2 linked regions of the Daphnia pulex genome follow. The protein of the gene in region 2 interacts with the protein of the main gene of each other region in a pairwise test. Links are inferred from orthologs where the notes say so. Each region holds a gene or a part of one and is shown on either strand. Other genes may lie near its edges.

Region 1 (3,307 bases), on a different chromosome or scaffold from region 2:
CGCGCGCCTACAATTCTACTACACTCGACATCTTCCAAAATAAAAACTTTTTTTTTTTCACAGAATGACCGAACTACACGCCAGTCGACTGATTTTTCAGACGCCAGCAGCAGCCCATTTCTTATTAATATGACAGGGCAGAAATTGTGTTCTTCTGATCAACAACTATGACCTCATCACACACACACACTGGCACTGTGGCACATCATTTTTTGGTCGTCTTTCTCAGTTGAATTGTTTTCCCACCATGACCGAAAATAATAGGGGAAAAAAGAACCTGTACAGGGGTTGGTGGGGAAAAAGCATTTTCCCCTTTTTACTTCTTTTCAAAAGAGGCTGGGGGTCCCCATTGTTGTGTCCAACCCAAACCAGAAGAGGGAGAAAGAACCTTACTATAATACTACTACTACTACACCGCCCACTCGATGGTTCTCCTGGGCAAGTGTCTCTACTATATTTTTACTACTATTTTGCCCTTTTTTGTGTGTCTGTGTCTACTTCCAGGGGGGAAAATGCGAGTCGAAATGGAACAAAAGAATCGTCGTCTCTCCCTAACTCGAAAGGAGAGAACCTTGAAAGTTTCTCGAATAACTCGAGGGTTGAAAAAACTCTCTAGCTAGCCGGCACTTTGGAAAATAAAAGACAGATTGCGCAACTATTGACAGTTTTACTCACCTAGCCTGTAGTGTATCGTGTTGTACTATCATGAGGCCGGCAAACGGACGGGCTCTACTACACACCTGCACAATCCATAAAAAGAATCAAGTAGGAGACAAAGGTGTGAAAAAATGTTTGTAACCTTGACACATCACCACTGTAAATTATACCTAGGCTCGTATCGACGAATGATGAGAACAGCAGCAACTGCAGATGGATCGATTTTTCATTCAAGCTACACACACACACACACACAGTCTCGTTACACCAGTTTCTCGTACTCGAATCTGTCTATTCTCTCCCCCTTGGTATACTCACGTCTGACGGCTACGGCGGCCAAGGATCGTGAATGGCTGGAATTTCCGTTTACGAGGCTCAGACACGTGACCTAAACACTTGTGATTGGATTGGTCCTTTTGAGGGAAAAAAAAATGTTCTGTTACCAGGTCCCTTGCTATTGTTATTTACGTAAGAATTCCACAGGCGACATCTAACGTCGAAATCTACAACTCGTCCTTGGGCGGCGTAAACAACAACGAAATTTAACGTTAAATTTGCAAAACGAACGAACAAAATCAAAGTCAACGCTTAATAAAATGGTTTATCTTCATTTCCCCTCCAATTTGACAGAAGAGGAATTAATGCTGCAAACTAAATATCAAAAACTTAAAAAGAAGGTGGGTTGCATGCAAATAGTATATACCTTTTACTATTTTACTAATGAAGTATACTGGAAATAGAAAAAAGCTTTGCAAGCACTGAAAGCACCCAAACCAGAACCAGAAAAAACACCTGCACTCAAAAGACCTGCAGAAGCAAGAGACGCCAGAGAAGTGGCTAAAAAGCTCTTGAAGTCCGGAGCCATTTCAGCCATTCCAAAACCTAGCGAGAAAACAGAAACTACTGGATTCAAAAGATCAAGAGGCTTAGAAAGAAAACTTTCCTCTTCTGATCGAGCACCAAGTGGATTCCAACCGTTTTCTTCAAGTCAAGGAAGTATGGTTTCTAATGAAGAACATGTCACACATGAAGCTAGAACCAAAAGCAAGGTAACAACAACACTATCCAATCCAAATAACTGTGTTCAAGCATTCTCCTTTCTGCTTAGGTTCCCAATCTCTATGAAAATTTCATTTCTTCAAGAGAATCAGATGCTGAACCAGCTTCAATTAGTCCAACAAACCCCAAAGAAACACCTACCTCTCCTGCCATTTCTCCAGTGAAGCACCAGAAACCTACAGTGGGGCACACAGTTTATGTAATCATTTCTTGGCTGTAGATTTTTGATGAAATGTGTTGATTAATCACATTGTTTGCCATTTTTAGGTGTTTGGCTACAGCATTACAGAAGAAATCCTCAAAAAAGCTTTCCAGTCTTTTGGAAATGTTGTAAACATTTCAATGGAAATTGAGAAAAAGTAATATCTTCTATTAAAGCAAACAGTAGCAAAATATTAAATACCTTTTTGTTCTCAGTTGCGGGTTCGTTACGTTCGACAAAACAACTTCAGCAGACAGAGCCATCAGTGAAGTATGTATAGAGAATTCCCTTAAAAAATCTACTCCTCACTTTTGCCTATTTTACTAAAATAGACAAACAAAATCCTGTGGGTTTTAAATGCTTTAGTAGTTGACCAAATCGTAATGGGAATTTTTATACCAAGTTTCTTGCCCAATATACCTAGTGGGAACTTTTGGCTCGTAGTAAATTTATTTCGAAATTTAAAAAAGGCGTTCCAGGTTGTTAAGCGCACCAGATTCTATCGTCACTAAAATTTCCCCTATGACGAATGTAATAATGATATACACTGCCATTGTTTTTCTTTTGTGACTGAATACTAGATGAATGGTAGCATGGTATCCGGTATTCAACTAAAAGTGTCACTCGCAAGGCGTCAACCTGTCATCGAACCTATAAACGATGCAACATCATCCGCTACGTGGTCCACAATAGGTTAGCCTTATTTTATTGAGCTTTCTAGTTTTGATGAAATGTCATTTATTTTTGTTTTCTCCATTTCAGCGGCTCGCAATTCTCAGAAAGGATCCTATAAAGATAAGCGCGATTTAGTGACATATGAAGAGGAATTGTTTTAAAAAGTAAATCATCACAGTACAGGCGGTTCTATGTAATTGTAATTTTCTCGTGGTGGATGTACAGTGATATTTCATTTTACATAAATTTCCCATCAGAAATACATGGAAAAAAACAAAAACAAGTTTTATTTTTAGACGGGCACCAAACGAGAGAATATTTAGCTTCCCGGATCAAATCTCTTTTTTTTAATTCCCCCCAACATTTATATACGATAAATTGCCTCTTTCCATCCCCTTCGCCCCCATTCCAGAAAAGTAATTTTACCTTGAAACGATCATAACGACGTAATAATAACATTAGACTCTTCGGGGCATTGCAAACGGAATTCTGTTTGTTGTTGAGTAATCACATAGACAGCGGAATGCGGTGTGCGAAGGTGAACGATTTTCCCGACGTTCAAAGTGCATAAAGTATTGATTTTGAAAGAATATTATGGAAAGAGGGGACAAGAATCTAGCTCCATTTGTCAAGCGATACGTATGGAAGGGGAAAAATATATCTCAAAATCGACAGACGCAGACCTATTAGCTTATAACAGATAAATGCTTTGCG
Region 2 (4,103 bases):
TTAGTGTCGATAACAGTAAGTAATTTCATTTAAATTCGAATACCTGGCTCCTACATATAGGGGACACAGCAAAGCGTTTATAACACCATGAGTGTGATGAAGTGGAAGCGCATGAACGATGACGTCTTTTTTGGACCATTGCCATACTTCAATCAACATTCGTACCTGAGCATCGATGTTTTTATGACTCAGTAGAACTCCCTTGGGTTTGCCGGTGGTTCCACTAGTATACAGCATCATAGCATCAGAATTCTGATAAAATTCCATTGGCTTTGTGTCACAGAGAATGGATTTTAGTTGGGTGGGTGTAACATTTTGGTTGATGGTTTGTTGCCATGATTCTTCTAGAATTACAGATTTGGTATCCTGACCAACTGTTTCGTGGACAGCATTAAGCAATTGGGAATGACTTTGAGAAGCAATTATTAAGGCAGCATCACAGTCTTTGACATAGTAACCCAACAAAGATGGAGGATGAACCGGACTGAGTGGTACAGCTGCAATAGAAATAATCATTATTAGAGAACTTTATGTTTTGATATATGTTTTGATACCAATGTGCCCTGCCGCCCAACAGGCCCACTGAGATATAACATAGGTAGAGTCATTCGGACAGAGGAAGCCAATTCTTTCTTGATTTTTTTCTGGACCTATAGAACTTTTAATCATATTTGACAATTTAATGGCTTTAAGCAACACATCCAAATAGGTATGAGATCCATGGCTGTCTTTAATAGCAACTCGATTGAGATGTTGAAGAGCAATTCGATGTGCAGGAATGATACCACGATTTTCCATCGTGGATTGAATTCTGCCTGGAGGATCTGTATTACTGATAGAGTATGGTCTACTTCGAAGGGTTGAATTAAGTACACCGGATCTCAATGACTTTAGAAAAACAGAGAGCATCGTCATGTTATTCATCAGTCAAGTAATAAATCGTGAGATATCTTATCATCTATAAAGGTGTAATTCTGCACGTCGAGATAAAATTCGAATCTGATAAGAATATTAATAATCCTATGAAGTAACCTTGGAACTTGGAAGTCTGGATAGAGACAACTGATGTGTTTGTTTACAAAAAAAAAATACTTTATGTCGTCTGCTGTAGCTCCCGGCCTCTTTTCGCAAGTCAAAAAGACCAACAGGCTTGCACAATCGTTTGCAATCTTTTCTATAATCGTTTTAAATGTTATGTATATAAAGGGGAAAAAATCAAAACAATTACAATTGGGGTCCAACCACCCAATATTTTGTAATTAAATTATTTTCTAATTAGATGCTCCTCTATAATACTCGTGAAACGGCAACGTTGTCTAGACTGTCAACAAAAACTTGTTGTTGGAAATTTGTGTCCGGGAGTTACACTGAAAAGTGAAAACTGCGCGAAGAAACTGATTCTTCGGGATATTATAATTTGAAATACATTACGTGTGAAACGTTATTTTTTTGAATTATGAGTCGAAATCCCTCTTCCTCGGCAGTTCCAAATGCAGCTGGTCAGCCGGCTGGTGTAACACCATCAACCAGCACTCCATCTGCATCTGGTCTTGAAGTCCTTGGAATACCCGGAGGAACATTTCTCAGAGAAGCTTTGACTTCGTGTAGTGATCCTCTTCAAGCCATCGAAGAATTTCAAGTTGAAAATGGAATACTTCTACCTTCTTTAAGACCAATGATGCCACTTTTGGATTTACATGGAGTAAAGCGGCTTGATTTCCACATATCTGTCATGGAGGTTGTTTACATGAAAAGATTTAAAACACACTTAGTTTTCAATTATTTTTATGCTTTTAGGCACTTCGTGATAAGCTTTTGGCCCAAATTGCTGATTTAGGTAATGCATCTTTAATTATTTTAAAATCAGTTTTATTTTACATTAACTATCTTCAGGCCAAAAAGAAGGAAAAGAGAAAGACAAGAAATTGAAAGAATTGTTGAACAAAAGCTTTCTTGTAGTTAAAACTAAAGCTCTAAGGCCAGTTGTTATGGCAGTTATGAAACACCTTTCTCATGTTGATGAAAAATACCTCAAAGTTTTGGTAATGTAATACATTTATTATTTGAATTCAGAATTTAATGAAATGATTGATCTCAGGTGAAAGACAAAGAACTTTATGATGATTGTGATACTGTGGTTAAGAGGCAAATGTGGAAAGGTATCCTCTTAGATAACATTTCAAATACAAGTATTATAACTTTTCATTCAAATTTTAGACAACCAATCCCTTTTTGGTGATGAGGTTTCACCTTTACTCAGTCAATATATCAAGGAAAAAGAACAACTTCTCTTTGATCAAAATAATCTGACAAATTTGTTTTTCCTACCATCTCCTAAGGTAAAATGAAATGGTATTAAATGGTCTTTGTGGCGCTGCGACAAAATATATACCTTTTTTATTGGTCAAGGAGAAAAATAAAAATCTTTCTTTCGATTCCCAGGTTCGCCGCCAAGGAGAAGTGGTCCAGAAGCTAGCGCATATGATCGGAAATAACGTTCGGCTGTACGATATGGTTTTGCAGTTCTTACGAACATTATTTTTACGTACTCGTAACGTTCATTATTGTACATTGCGTGCTGAACTGCTTATGGCTCTACATGAGACGGAAGTGCAAGAAATTACAAACGTTGATCCATGTCACAAGTTCACCTGGTGCGTGGATGCTTGCATAAGGGAACGTAATGTCGACACCAAACGTTCTCGAGAGATTCAAGCGTTTCTCGACGGTATAAAAAGTGGCCAGGAACAAGTTCTTGGAGATCTGTCTATGATGCTGTGCGATCCCTATGCCGTCCATTTCTTAGCTACGTCATCGTTGAAGATTTTGCACAACCTTGTTGCATCAGAAAGTTTGCCTCGAGAACACCATATTTTACTTTTATTGTTACGGATGCTTGCGCTTGGTTTAAGCGCATGGCAGATGATCGATTCTCAGGTAGGACGAAGATTCAAAACAACCATTATTCCTTTATTAATTTCAGTAATCTTGTGCAGGAATTTCGGGAACCACGGCTTGATTCTCAAGTTGTCACGAAATTTCTTCCGGCTCTCATGTCGCTAATGGTGGATGATCAAGTCCGATCTCTAAACTCGAAATTACCCAGTGATGAACGTGAATCAGCTTTGACCATTATCGAACATTCAGGTACATGTAACCATTACTGTGAAGTTTCAAGGCACGTTTACTTAATGCTTCTAATAATAGGACCTCCACCCGATGCATTCCAAGCATACATATCTGAAAGTAGTGTACCTTGTGTTCTAGCAATGTATTACACTCTCCAGGTATTATTTATACTATATGTGAATAATGGCATTTATTACTGTCATTCCTCGGATTTAGGTGGCAAGAAGTAGAGACAAAGTGGCTTTAACTCGTGTTTTGGGCACGCTTGCTGTTGGTCACGGCGAACGATCATTCGAAGATCCTTTCCTTCACACTTTGGTAATATCCTATTTTACCTATTAGATCATTAAAGTAAATAACTTTATAATTGGAAAATAGGTTGCCCATCTGATTCCAATGCAGGATGAATTTGTCAATGAAATGTTTTGCACAGTTGTTTTTGATGAATTTTTTTTCACATCAATTGGCAAGGAGAATGTTGTCAGACATTTAACAAAACTTGTGTGGTATGTTCATCATAAGCTACCTGCTGCTAGACTTGATACCTTAATGAAAGCACTTCAACCAAATCCTCAATCCCCTGAAATCATGCATCAGGTAAAAATATTATTATATTGGCATAGAAAAAAAAGAAAATGTCCATAAATGTGCTTTGCCTTTAGGTCTATAAGCAACTGGAGCAAAGAATTGAATCATACCAGCTGAACCCATCATCTATGACTCAAGGAGTCCACAATGATGACTCTGTGTTGATGATGAATGTACCTACTCCAATGTCAATGTAGAATAAAACAGTGTATTGGTCAGGCTTACAAACAAGATTTAATGATGATTTATTGATAATAGAGCTCCAAATTCATCCCATCATGAATCTCATCTACAAGAAGAGAATAAAACTTAGTCAATATGGAGTAGCCATAAAAAAACATCAAATTCAAAAACTACTTACAGTCCTCCAGTTTGATGTGATCCTT

Evidence for each region.
Region 1: the proteins of negative elongation factor B-like (region 2) and negative elongation factor E-like interact in binary tests that used the Homo sapiens proteins (3 or more experiments, as listed by UniProt). The link is inferred for Daphnia pulex from reciprocal best matches to the Homo sapiens genes NELFB and NELFE.

What each region holds. Positions count from the first base shown.
Region 1 is NC_060021.1:9,953,242-9,956,548, reverse strand, and holds negative elongation factor E-like, read left to right. Parts: upstream 1-1,162; 5' UTR 1,163-1,253; coding exon 1,254-1,334; intron 1,335-1,397; coding exon 1,398-1,706; intron 1,707-1,765; coding exon 1,766-1,915; intron 1,916-1,983; coding exon 1,984-2,075; intron 2,076-2,133; coding exon 2,134-2,188; intron 2,189-2,499; coding exon 2,500-2,611; intron 2,612-2,680; coding exon 2,681-2,754; 3' UTR 2,755-2,807; downstream 2,808-3,307. UniProt on the Homo sapiens protein: Essential component of the NELF complex, a complex that negatively regulates the elongation of transcription by RNA polymerase II.
Region 2 is NC_060017.1:4,644,680-4,648,782, forward strand, and holds negative elongation factor B-like, read left to right. Parts: upstream 1-1,303; 5' UTR 1,304-1,456; coding exon 1,457-1,738; intron 1,739-1,797; coding exon 1,798-1,837; intron 1,838-1,893; coding exon 1,894-2,042; intron 2,043-2,098; coding exon 2,099-2,159; intron 2,160-2,217; coding exon 2,218-2,339; intron 2,340-2,442; coding exon 2,443-2,937; intron 2,938-2,996; coding exon 2,997-3,147; intron 3,148-3,207; coding exon 3,208-3,287; intron 3,288-3,345; coding exon 3,346-3,447; intron 3,448-3,507; coding exon 3,508-3,726; intron 3,727-3,791; coding exon 3,792-3,914; 3' UTR 3,915-3,945; downstream 3,946-4,103. Other genes in the region: malonate--CoA ligase ACSF3, mitochondrial-like, read right to left, coding at 44-497, 555-924. UniProt on the Homo sapiens protein: Essential component of the NELF complex, a complex that negatively regulates the elongation of transcription by RNA polymerase II.